3 linked regions of the Rhinolophus ferrumequinum genome follow. The protein of the gene in region 1 purifies or fractionates together with the protein of each later gene. This does not show direct contact. Links are inferred from orthologs where the notes say so. Each region holds a gene or a part of one and is shown on either strand. Other genes may lie near its edges.

Evidence for each region.
Region 2: the proteins of DNAJC7 (region 1) and STUB1 purify together in Homo sapiens (affinity purification with mass spectrometry; 3 studies listed by BioGRID and IntAct, with this or other methods). This does not show direct contact. The link is inferred for Rhinolophus ferrumequinum from reciprocal best matches to the Homo sapiens genes DNAJC7 and STUB1.
Region 3: the proteins of DNAJC7 (region 1) and BLTP2 purify together in Homo sapiens (co-immunoprecipitation; 3 studies listed by BioGRID and IntAct, counting the BioPlex papers as one, with this or other methods). This does not show direct contact. The link is inferred for Rhinolophus ferrumequinum from reciprocal best matches to the Homo sapiens genes DNAJC7 and BLTP2.

Annotation. Positions count from the first base shown.
Region 1 is NC_046304.1:37,894,525-37,898,267, forward strand, and holds the start of DNAJC7 (dnaJ homolog subfamily C member 7), read right to left. Parts: upstream 2,627-3,743; 5' UTR 2,554-2,626; coding exon 2,477-2,553; intron 2,208-2,476; exon of another isoform or gene 2,189-2,207; intron 1-2,188. UniProt on the Homo sapiens protein: Acts as a co-chaperone regulating the molecular chaperones HSP70 and HSP90 in folding of steroid receptors, such as the glucocorticoid receptor and the progesterone receptor.
Region 2 is NW_022680357.1:2,625,614-2,629,289, reverse strand, and holds STUB1 (E3 ubiquitin-protein ligase CHIP), read right to left. Parts: upstream 2,888-3,676; coding exon 2,729-2,887; intron 2,230-2,728; coding exon 2,031-2,229; intron 1,944-2,030; coding exon 1,715-1,943; intron 1,584-1,714; coding exon 1,496-1,583; exon of another isoform or gene 1,438-1,495; intron 1,363-1,437; exon of another isoform or gene 1,272-1,362; coding exon 1,215-1,271; exon of another isoform or gene 1,126-1,214; coding exon 1,009-1,125; intron 937-1,008; coding exon 811-936; 3' UTR 558-810; downstream 1-557. Other genes in the region: JMJD8 (jmjC domain-containing protein 8), read left to right, coding at 74-141, 220-354, 428-508; uncharacterized protein LOC117019799, read left to right, coding at 2,886-3,445, 3,518-3,611. UniProt on the Homo sapiens protein: E3 ubiquitin-protein ligase which targets misfolded chaperone substrates towards proteasomal degradation.
Region 3 is NC_046304.1:18,800,631-18,804,373, reverse strand, and holds the start of BLTP2 (bridge-like lipid transfer protein family member 2), read right to left. Parts: upstream 2,278-3,743; 5' UTR 2,180-2,277; coding exon 2,112-2,179; intron 1,279-2,111; coding exon 1,155-1,278; intron 666-1,154; coding exon 616-665; intron 323-615; coding exon 175-322; intron 1-174. UniProt on the Homo sapiens protein: Tube-forming lipid transport protein which binds to phosphatidylinositols and affects phosphatidylinositol-4,5-bisphosphate (PtdIns-4,5-P2) distribution.

The sequences.
Region 1 (3,743 bases):
ATGAAGTCCATTTCTTTTCTCTCTAGAGATACTAAAGCTAAGGAAATAAAACATGTAGCCATTTAAAATGCTGTCATCATGAGGTCTAGTGTCTTGAAAGCTCCTCTCATTTTGCCCCCTGCGGAACTGTAACAATTTAGTAGCACAGCAGGATGTCCCTGAGTCTACAAGCAAGGAAGGAAGGAATCCCTGCTGAGCTTCACAAAAACCCAAGAGGCCCATCAACTCTCAGTGTCCCCGAGTGAACTGGTAGTAGGGCTGTAATGAGAGACATGACTTGGTCAAATGACAAACCAAACCAGATAGTGAAGGGCACTTGTAAGGGATGTCCCCATCTCTGCCCTCTGCTATGGCTACATAGGATTCCAAGATACGTGAGAAATATAAACAACCTTCCCCCAAAACTTCTAAATTCCCATTCCATTTTCAGCATTGGAAAACCATACATAACAAGGCTTTTTCTTACTAAAGATCCCAACATTTACCTTCTGAAGGATGGCAGAAAGTCAAACCGTGATTTTTTTTTTAACTTCGCTATATTTTCCTTTTGATTTGTTCACCTAAGTGGTATATGATAAACACCTATGTCTTATTATGCCTAAAAGAGATCTATATAAATATGTATAACATATAAGTCTATTTGGTAAGAATGCATTTTTTATAGTTATTTTTAAATTACAGTTCTTTTTTCTTAGTGGTAGAAAAAACAATTGTGCATTTTACAATTAATGACATTTTAAGTTTCATGAAATAAGGCAGTTAATGTAAGTCAACATTCTCTCTTATTTGGTTGTACTGCTACCAAATATCATATGCTTTTGTGTAATGTGGTCACATTGTCGCATTACCAGTTCTATGCTCAGGTTCATATACTACTTTATGATAGAATATCCTGTGAGGCCATAATTTTATTTTTTAAGGAAAAGGATTTGCTTTAGATAGGGGACTTTGAACAGGAATCCAAATTAGGGACAATCCCTACATCACAGCTTTACACTGAGTAAATGAGTTTTTTTCAATTATGTAACAGCCCAAGACCCTAATAATAGCACAAAGAACCCCAAACTGTTTCCATATGAAATAAATCCTTACAATTAATTTAGGCTCTGTGTTGGGGGCAGTTTTATTTCCCATTTTGCAGTTCCTTAATGAAGCTGATGCTGCTGAATTCTAAATACCTGGAAAGAAGGAGGACAGATGTGAAGACTCAAAACTAATAAGAAAGACTAGACTCTGGTACCCTGACTTCTCTGATATCCCACGGACCTATACTTTGTCAAGCCTCTCAGCTCCCAACAGGTCAGGAATTTGGAACCCTGGCTGCAGTAACTATCCTTAAGCTTGGTAACTATTCATTCTGCCTCACTGAATACCTCTTACGTGTCTAACTTATGTTTCTAACTTGGATAGCAAAAAAAAAAAAAATCTCAGAATCCTGATTTCAGATCTCATGCATCAAAACTTCAAATCACCCAGATTGAAAACATAATGAAATGGCCTTGGTACAAAGACATGAAATCTGTAGGAAGGAGACTGAGGGGATTGTAGACAATCTGTGCTGATAAGGGCTCCAAACTTCCAGAACCTTTTCCTTAATGTTGCTTCAGGATTAGGACAAGTATGACTACCCACAACTGTGTTCCAACCCCATTTCCCACAACCTGCTTTAGCTGTAGCCAGAATCCAGAGTGTTCTCGAAAAACACTCACTCAGCAGCTGCCTTGGCTAGTCGGGACTGGCAATCTCGAGCCCCTGCGGCTGCCCGGTAGTGCCAATAGCGCCCAAGGTGCTGCCCTCCTTGCTGCTTAAAATAAGAAAGCCCAGTCCAGGGAAGAATGCGGATGTAACTCGGAAGGGTACACGGAGGGATGGAGGAAGAGGAGTTTGACGTGTACAGCGTGAAACAAGCCCCTCACTCCTCTTTCTCTATCATCTTCGACTTCTGGGTTAACAGGGAGGGGGTGGCGACCAGGTCAACAATGGAGACACACAATCACCTCAGACCCCGGCTAGTGCTCCCTGAGATACAATTACGGACGAAAACGAGTAAAGAGAGCACAAGCTGTGGAGATGCTAAATGCTGATAGACAACAATGCACAGAAGTTAATAAGAGAAGGCGGGGGGGTAAGAGGCAATGTAAGGAAGTTGACATTGTCGCCGCGCCGCCTCCCCCACCCCGCAACAGACCTCAGATACCCTCAGGGACCAGGTCTCCACCATAAGGACCTTCCTCTCTGCAGGAGAACGAGGCCGTCCGTGCTTCAGCAACCCGGCCAGGCGGAAGCGGGAGAGGAGGACCGACCTCCGAGAGCGCCCCTTCAGGGGGTCCATCCGGACTAGATCTCAGATTGGGGGGGGGGTCTGCGGAGGGCGGGGCATCTCCTCAACAGCTAGGGGCTGCATCCTGGCAGGGACCGGTTGCCCGGAGCCACGGAGCTGAAGCTCCCCCCTTCCACTACACTGCCACCCCGTTACCTCTTCGCTTCTGCGTTGTCGGGCACCTCCGGCTCGGTCGCCGCCATTACCACATCGCACTCCGCGGCAGCCGCCATCTTACCGCCGAGACCAGAGAGCCGGGTGGGAGGCCGGCGGTGAAGAGCACTTCCGGTCGGAGCATAGAGCAGCTCGGAGACGCTGCGCCCAGAGGGGCTCCCTCGGGCCCGTCTACCAACGAGAGGCTCCGCTTCGGGCCAGAGCGGCCTCCCGCCCCCGGAGGTCCACGTTGATCTCCGCGCCGGGGCGGGGGCCCAGGGACAGTTCTTGTACGTGGGGGGCGCCACTTTACCCGTGGGTCGAAAGGGGGTTACAGGAGGGGTCGCCTCTCTAGCCTTGACTTTTCTCAGTATGCCGAAAACCTCGTTGCCATAGCAACTTCCAATCCTGTAGCGTCTCGAGGGAGTCTGAGTTGGGTGGGGACCCAGTGACCCAAGACTCTGGAGGGAAAGAGCGCTCCCCACACTACTACCTTCCCGATCTTGGAGTGTGTCCACAGCTTCCTCCTGGGAAAAGCAAGAAGAGACACTTTGAGCCCGGTTCCCCTAGCTTTCATCGGCCCCTGGAAGCCCTGCCCAGCCAAGCTAGGGGAACGCAGGGCGTCTTCACCCCACGCCTTTCATCCTCTCTGGATCTCCAGGCACCACCTGGTTCATCACCCTAATGACGCTGACCCTTTTATGAGGTTCCTTTCATGTCAGCCGCCTGGGAGTGCCATCTCAGCATTAAGCCCCAGTGGCACAGAGCCCCAGACCCTGCCCTCGAGTTTATAAGGCAGCTCGCGGGGTGAGGTCCCTGCCCCAGTGCCCTCAGTATTCCCACCCCTCATATACACTCCCTGCTCACCACGCTTGTCTTTCCGAATGCAGTCTGGATTGGGAACTCATAGAAGGCAGGGACACAGCCTAATCGTCTTTGTAGTACTTAACCTCACCCAAACCAATAATTTTTGTGGGCTTGAATTAAATTGAGGTTTCCTGAGGTTAAATTGAGAGAGTTTGAGGTTTAAAATTTAAAACTATGGGAAACTAAAATAAGATGGGAGCAAGGGAATTTAAAAAGGATCTACCTTCTTCCTCCAGTAAAACAGTATATGCTGTTGTCCCCAGTAAAACAGTATGTGCTTGCGTGGTCTCTGCCTATCAGAGTGCCAAAGGAGCTGAAACCACACCCACCATCGGGTAGGGGAGAATGGGAGAGGCTGGGTTGCAAGAGAGAGAACATTTATCCAGCGCTCTCCAAAGTGCTT
Region 2 (3,676 bases), on another chromosome or scaffold:
AGGAGATTTGGAGGGGTGGGATGGGGCGTGCAAATTGGTTTTGATACTCAGCTACTCATAACTGCCCCCACAGGAGCTGGCTCCGGGGTGCCCTTCCACTGGCACGGGCCTGGGTTCTCAGAGGTGATCTACGGCCGCAAGGTCAGCACAAGGTGGTGGCTGAGACTTGGGGCTCACTGACCACAGCACAAAGAGTGACCTTGCTGCTTCCACCCCCAGCGCTGGTTCCTGTATCCCCCTGAGAAGACACCCAAGTTCCATCCCAACAAGACCACACTGTCCTGGCTCCGGGACACGTACCCAACCCTGACGCCATCGGCACGGCCCCTGGAATGTACTATCCAGGCTGGTGAGGTCAGTCACTGGTAGGAGGGGGCGGGGTTGGGCTGAGGGCCCCCAATTCATCCCTGTGCCCTACCCCATCCAGGTGCTATATTTCCCTGACCGATGGTGGCACGCCACACTCAACCTCGACACCAGTGTCTTCATCTCCACCTTCCTCAGCTAGCCAGAGCAGGCAGCTGGCAAGTCCCATCGCACACCGGCACACAGCCCTATGACTGCTCACAGGTTTTATTACAGGGACAGTGGTGGCAGCAGCAACCTCAGCCCAAGCCACCCTAGCCTGCTGTTTCTGGCCCAGAAGGGGGACGGGGAGGCTCATGGCCAACCAGCAGACCTGATGGAGGATGGGGTGGGGACACCAGAGCAGGGATCCAGGGGCACAAACTATGTACAGGGGTTGGGGGCTATCGCCCCAAGGCCCTCCTGGGCCAGGGTGTCAGGTAAGGTGGGGCCAGTGGCCCTGCCTCAGTAGTCCTCCACCCAGCCATTCTCGGAGATGAACGCGTCGATGACTTCTTTCATGGCCAAGTTGGGAATGAGTTGTTCCTGGGTCAGGGGGCTCCGGGTCACAGGGTCAAAGTGGCCCACGCGCTGCAGTGACAACAGGGTCAGACGGTGCTCAGTGGGCCCAGGCCCTGCCCCCAGCGCCTGTGAGTCCCTCACCTGCAAATGCTCCTCGATGTCCTTTCGGTCATAGGTGATGCCACTGGGCGTGATGCACGGCTCCCGCATCAGCTCAAAGCTGATCTTGCCACACAGATAGTCAGGGATATCCCGCTTCTGCCTCACACAGGAGCAAGTTAGGGACCAGGAAGCGGACGCTGCTCCAATTCCTGCCGCCCACAGGCCCCAGAGAACACACCACTCACCTTTCTCTTCTCATCCACTTGAGAAAAGAGCTCATCCATGTCTGCTAAGTACTTGTCCTGCAAAGAGCCAAGCAGCCACGCGTGGGCCAGACACCACATCTGCTTTCCCCAGACAGGCACACTCAGACCCCACGGGAGCCAGGGCCACCCCCCCGTCACATGCGCACAAACACACACAGACCCACGTGAGGGCACACTCAGACCCCACGGGAGCCAGGGCCACCCCCCGTCACATGCACACAAACACACACAGACCCACGTGGGGGCCGGGGCACCCTCACGTGCTTGGCCTCGATGCAGGCCTGCTGGGCCCGGACGTGGCCGTCGTCCTCATCACCCTCATGGTTCCGCTGACACTCTTCCAACTCCCTGAGGGTTGACCGGGAGCGGGTCAGAGAGGTCTGGCTAGGGAAGGTCACCTTCCACCCCAACCTTGGGCTTGTTCAGGCCTCATCCCCCCGTCTGTCTCCTGTTCACCAGTGCTGGCCCTCAATAAATACTTGTGTTCGTGACTCAAGAATGGTGACTTGTGGGGGGTCCTGGAGCCTGCCAGCACAGCCCACCTCTCCCGCTCAGCCACAATGAGGCGCGTGAGGTAGGAGTGCAGCTCGTTTTCCTGGTGGATGCGTCGCTCCTCGATGCTGTTCCAGCGCTTCTTCTTGGCGATGCGCAGAGCGCTGGGAATGTCATCTCCGAAGTTGAGCCGCTGCTCCTTCGCCAGATTGTAGGCTGAGGGAATAGAGTTCAGCTCATCCGCTGGCCAGTCCACCCGCCTGGCCCCGGGCACCCCCACACCCTGCCAGCCCGGAGGCCCACCTCGCTGCAGGTTGGCGATGGCCTCGTCATAGCTCTCCATCTCCAGCTGGCATTGCCCCAGGAAAAAGTGTGCCTTCACAGACTGCCCGTCCAGCTCCAAGGCACGCCGGCAGTCGGCCAGGGCCTGCTCATGCTGCTGCATCTTCAGGTAGCACAGTGCCCGGTTTGTGTAATACACCGCCACCAGGGGATTCCGGGTCTGGGGACCAGGACCGGCCAGTCAGCATGAGGGCGTGACCTCAGCCTGCCCCCGCAGTCCTAAGGCCTGTCCTGGCGTGGGGTTCACGGCTGGAAAGCTGCTAGTATCTAGGTTTCTCAGCTTCAAAGCTCCTGGATCCTGAGGATGGCTGGAAGGTGGCGTCTGGTCCTGAGGCCTGCCCGAGCCCACCCTCTTGACTCCAGTAGGTTCTGTAAGGGTAACTTTCCCAGACCTGTGGAAATCCCTGGCCTCCCGGGCTCTGAGGGCCTCAAGCACCCTGAAGCTTTCACCCGCCATAGTTCTCCGGCGGGGGGCTCGAGAGCCGCGGCTTCGGCCCCTTTGGAACGAGATCACCATTGAGTCCTCAGACCCCAAACGCCACCCCCGTCCGGGCCCAGACACTCGGTAGGTCTGGCGGCGGCGGCCAGGCAGGCCCGGCAGGCCCCGCCCCCTCCCCTGGCCGGGGCGCCGGCCCCACCCCCGACGCGGGCACACTCACGATCGCGCGGCCATAGCAGGCCGCCGCCTCCGGATACTTGCGGCCCACGAAGAGCCGGTTGCCTTGCTCCTTGAGCTCCTGCGCGCTAGGGCTCTTCTCGGGGCTTCCACTGGCGGCGCCCAGTCGCGCGCCACCCTCCTTCTCCTCCTTGCCTTTCATGGCGCCGCGCGGCACGGCCTGGGCTCCGCTCCCAGGCTCCGCGCCCGGCCCGCCCTGTGCCCGCAGCCCGAGCCCGCAGCCCGAGACCGCGATCCGCTCGGGCCCGGTCCAGCGATCCGCCACCGGAACTTCCGGCCGCGCGGGGCGGGGCGGAGCGAGCGGGGCGGCCGGACACGCGCGAGTGGGAGGGACTTCGCGTGCGCCCGACGCTCTGTGGGGGGGGCCAGCGGAAGTGTGCGCTCGGGGAGACGCGACCCACGACGTCGGAAGTCTGGAGAAGAGCCGAGAGCTGCCCAGGTGGCTCCGCCCCTCGCACTCGGGGCTGGTCCTTCCAGAAGTCGGTCCGACTCACGCCGCGCGGCCCGCCACGCCCATCAGAGGCCCCGTCCCCGCGGCCGGTCCCGCCCCCTCCGAGACCCGGCCCTTGAACATGGCGGTCGCCTGCGGGCTGTGGGGCTGTGAGGACCCGAGCCGCTGGGCCGCCATCCTGGCGCGCCACGGGGAGGTGCTGCGGGCGCGCGCGGGCCCCCGGGGGCAACTGGAAGCCCTGGATCGATGGTAGGGCGATGGGGGCATCGGTAGGGCGGGCGACCCCCGTTGCCCGGACTCCCCGTCACCGCCTTTTCCCAGGTACCGAGAGGATTTGCCCATGGCCATTGAGGGCCGCGCGGAGAAGCACGTGACACGAGAAGAGCTAGAGCGGCTGCTGGCGTGGAAGCTGGCGGTGAGGGGCTTCCACGTGGGGGGCGGAACAGCGGCGGGCGGGCCCGCCTCCTAGGGGCGGGGCTT
Region 3 (3,743 bases), about 19 Mb from region 1:
AAAAAACAAAGAGGAACAATAATTAATATCAAGGCACTGGCTTTTCTTTTCCAGCGGAGAAAGAATAATAGGCAGCTCTTAGTATTATGCACCCCGATAGTAGAAAAATCCACTTGTGACTCCCAAGCCAGCCATTCCTAGTACAGTCCAGGAAAGTGGAAGTTGTCGTCTCACCTGGCAGAAGATCTTCAATAAGGATGGGCTAAAGGACAGCTCTTTTTGATGCACCCCAGCGCTCTGGGAGAATGGAGCACACAGGCCAGAAACCTTCTGTAGGTCCGTTCTGATACGTACTTCTCCAAAGCACAATGCCACATAGCGTCTGCCCAGAAGAGAAACTTCACTGCCTTCAGGTCCATCCCTTCCATAGCAGTCTCTTTCCCTCCCTCACATTCGCCCCTCCCGGCCTCCTTAGAAATGTAGTTCACATCAGGGAGGACAGTTATCAGTATCTATCTCACAAGATAATAACTTCCAGGCTGACCAGGAGATATCAAGCCAAGAACCCACAGCCCTTCTCGGATTGTAAGGTCTCTACAGGAGAATGTCATTCTGCAAATCCCAATCACAAAATGTTCCCCAAGGGAATAGTGAGGATCTAAGGTAGGTACTCACGGCAGATCATAACTAAGGAGTTTGCTGGAAATCCACAGGCTATCAATTTCCTACAACAGGATGGGAGAAAGCTTTGTACATTAGCTGCGATGTAAGCCATGAGCAGCTTGACAAGTCAGGAAAGGTTCTAAGAAGAGGAGGATGGGTTATAGCCCTTCCCCTAAATACTCTCCCTTCCATTTCCACCAGCTTCTCTCCTCAGCACTATATCCTGCTCCTCAAATGATGTTAGTATTTCTTATGGATAGGTTGCCCCATTTCCCCTCTTAAATTAGAACAGTGAGCTCTTTTATTTCCTGTTATCTTAGTTCTGTGCTTTACTTCTGTATCTTATCAGGACACTGTGCCTGATAAGCATGTTTAACTTAACACCAATCCCAGCGTTCCCAAGCTAACTCTAAGATCATCTTGGCAGAGAGGTGGCAAGACACGGTTAACTAGGAAAGTCACACGGAATTTTTTAAAAAGGAAAATTAAGGGTTGACATTCGGCTGGATCAACCCCACACACACATAGCCAAGGATTTTCCCAGGACTCACCACTGTTTGCTGGTGCTGCTGAAACTTAAGACTGACATTCTGGATCCAAAAAAAGGAGCCAATCTTGAGCTCCGCTTGCAGCTTCTGCTGACACCACTTGGTGGCAAACCTGACAACAAGCCACCTGCAGAAAAATCCCTGTGAGTTCACAGGACCCTCTCCCAATTATGGTGTCCCTCACCCCTGGCTGGTTCTAGAAGCCCTTGCAAAGGATCAAGTCCTGAAGTTGGATCGTCTGGGCAACTCTCCTGTCTCCAAACACACCAGTCTGTTAGATACATTGGGCCACAACTCATCAGAATCCTACCCCCAGAGTATCCCCTCTACCCAGGTGAAATCAGACAAACTAAACTCCACCTTCTAAACTGGGGACAAAGAAAGCAACTCCTCAAATCTTGAGGAAGCCCACAGGTAGAGAGAGGAGGACCCACTAGGAGTCGAAGTGCAGGCAGTCGTGTCAGATGTGCCATCACACACTCCCCAAAGGATCTCTGTCTTCGCCCTCCAGACATGTGTCCGAAAGAAGGCACTGTGGGGTCATACCGGGCCAGCTCCAATGCCGCTCTCCCTTGGGCAGCCAGACCTGTTCCGGCTTCCCAGGGCGAGGCTGCAGGTGCCCTCTGCGCTCGGTGAAGAGGACACTCGGGCGTGTAAAGGGGACAGGGAGACCACCGAGCCAGGCTGCTTCCTCACACACACATCTATTCAGCTCCAGCCTCAGCATCTCCTCAGGCCTCGGCTGCTCCCTCAGTCTCTCCCAATCCCAGCTCCTCCGCGCCTGCTCCGGCCTGCGCCCCCGCTCGACCCCTCTCCCGCCGCCTCCCGCGCACGGTCCCTTCCAGCCCTCTCCCCCTTCGTCTCCCCGTCCCGGACGCCTCTTCCCAGCGCGCGCCCGGTCCTCAGTCTCTCTTCCTCCCACTCCCCGCCCTAACCCCGCCGTAGCCGGGATCCCCTCACCGGCCTAGGAAGAGGGCGCACAGCACAACCAACAGCAGGGCCAACAGCGCGGCTAAGAACAGGGTCATTACGGCCCCGGCCAGGCCCGGCCTGGCTCCGGCCCCCGCCCTACCGGGCCCCCTCCCTCCGGCTCCGTGCTGCGCCGCCGCGGGCCGACCAGCCGCGCGCGCAGGGATAGCACGGGACCAGGAAGCGTTGGCGCGCGTGCGCCCCGCCCCCCGCAGCCCGCCAGCCAACAGCTGTCTCCTAGCCCAGCCCCGCCCGGCGCGCGCAATCAAGCAGGGCCGACTGGCTGCAAGTGCGAAGTACAGGCGTGGCTCCGGGAGGAGAGCGCGGGGGAGCGGACCTCGCACAGGCTGACACGCCAGCTCCGCTCCGGGGCGCACCCTTCCGCGCCGGGAAATGTGGAGCCGCGGGCTTGCGTGGGGGCTGGGGTCTAACCTGCTCCCTAGCTGGCGGTGGAGCTGGCTGGCTCATGTTGGCCGCGGAGAGTTCCACTAGCAAAGCACGCTCCAGGGAAAGTTAGTCGGTTTGGCCACTTAAGGCCTGGACCGAGGACACTGCTGAAGATCACACTCCTAGGTCTAAGTAGCTCTCCTGTCTTATTAAGGGACCTTGTCTGAAAATCATGGAGGAGGAAACCAAGAGGTAATTAATTATACGCACTCAAAAATCCCACTTCATTACATCCACTAAGGAATGAGTTAATTCATTAACTGAATACTGTTGCAGTCAGCTGATTTGTATTGAACTACTGTGTGGGCAGCACATTCTGGACCCTTCATTGGAGAAATTTTCAGTGTGTACTGTGCATAGTGCAAACTAGGCACTGGGCGGGAGGGACACCACAGCAGTAGACCATATTGTTCTTGCCCTTCAACAACAGTTTACCTGGGAAGCAAACATAATTACACCAAATAGAGAATTGGGCCAACTTAATTTTGCGTTTCTTTCTCTGAGGGAATTAGACAAAGGTCCCTTCCAATTCTAGCTCTGTGAGGCTAATACAAGCTAAAAAAAAATTGAGGAATTCAAAATAAATAGTTCACATACCTTTGCTCTCAGTTCCTAATCTCCATAAACATCTGATTTTACCCAGAGACTCTTCCACTCCTTCAGATCAAGCACCATTTCAGATTTCACCTAGGTTGCCCAAAGTTTTTACCCCTCCAACTGTTTTTTTTCCTTCTCTAGTCTTCTCATCAGTCATTTCACATCTTCCCCAGGGCTCCACCATCTTTCTAGTTCGTATCTCTCAAGCACTGTATTTCCTTTATCCTCCTTATAATCTGCAACTTCCCATCAGGGTATGTTCTGTCTGTGAACCTTCAGGGAAGGCCCAACAAACTCTGTCCGAGCCAAGGAGGGGAACCTGGCAACACATCTCCCTATTCTCATTCATCGTGGCCAATCTGTTCCCTTTATTGCACTGATTTCTAACACTTCCTTTCTTCTTTCTTCCCAGACTGTTACCACCCTACTCCCAACTACCTTGATAAGACTGAAATGTTTTTATCATTTGTCTACTTTCTGGAGAGATTTCAAGGAATCAATGCAACGGAAGTGGAGTAAGGGCAGAGGGCGGAGATGGAGCTCAACTAGTTCATGGTCTCAACTTACTGAACCAAGTCC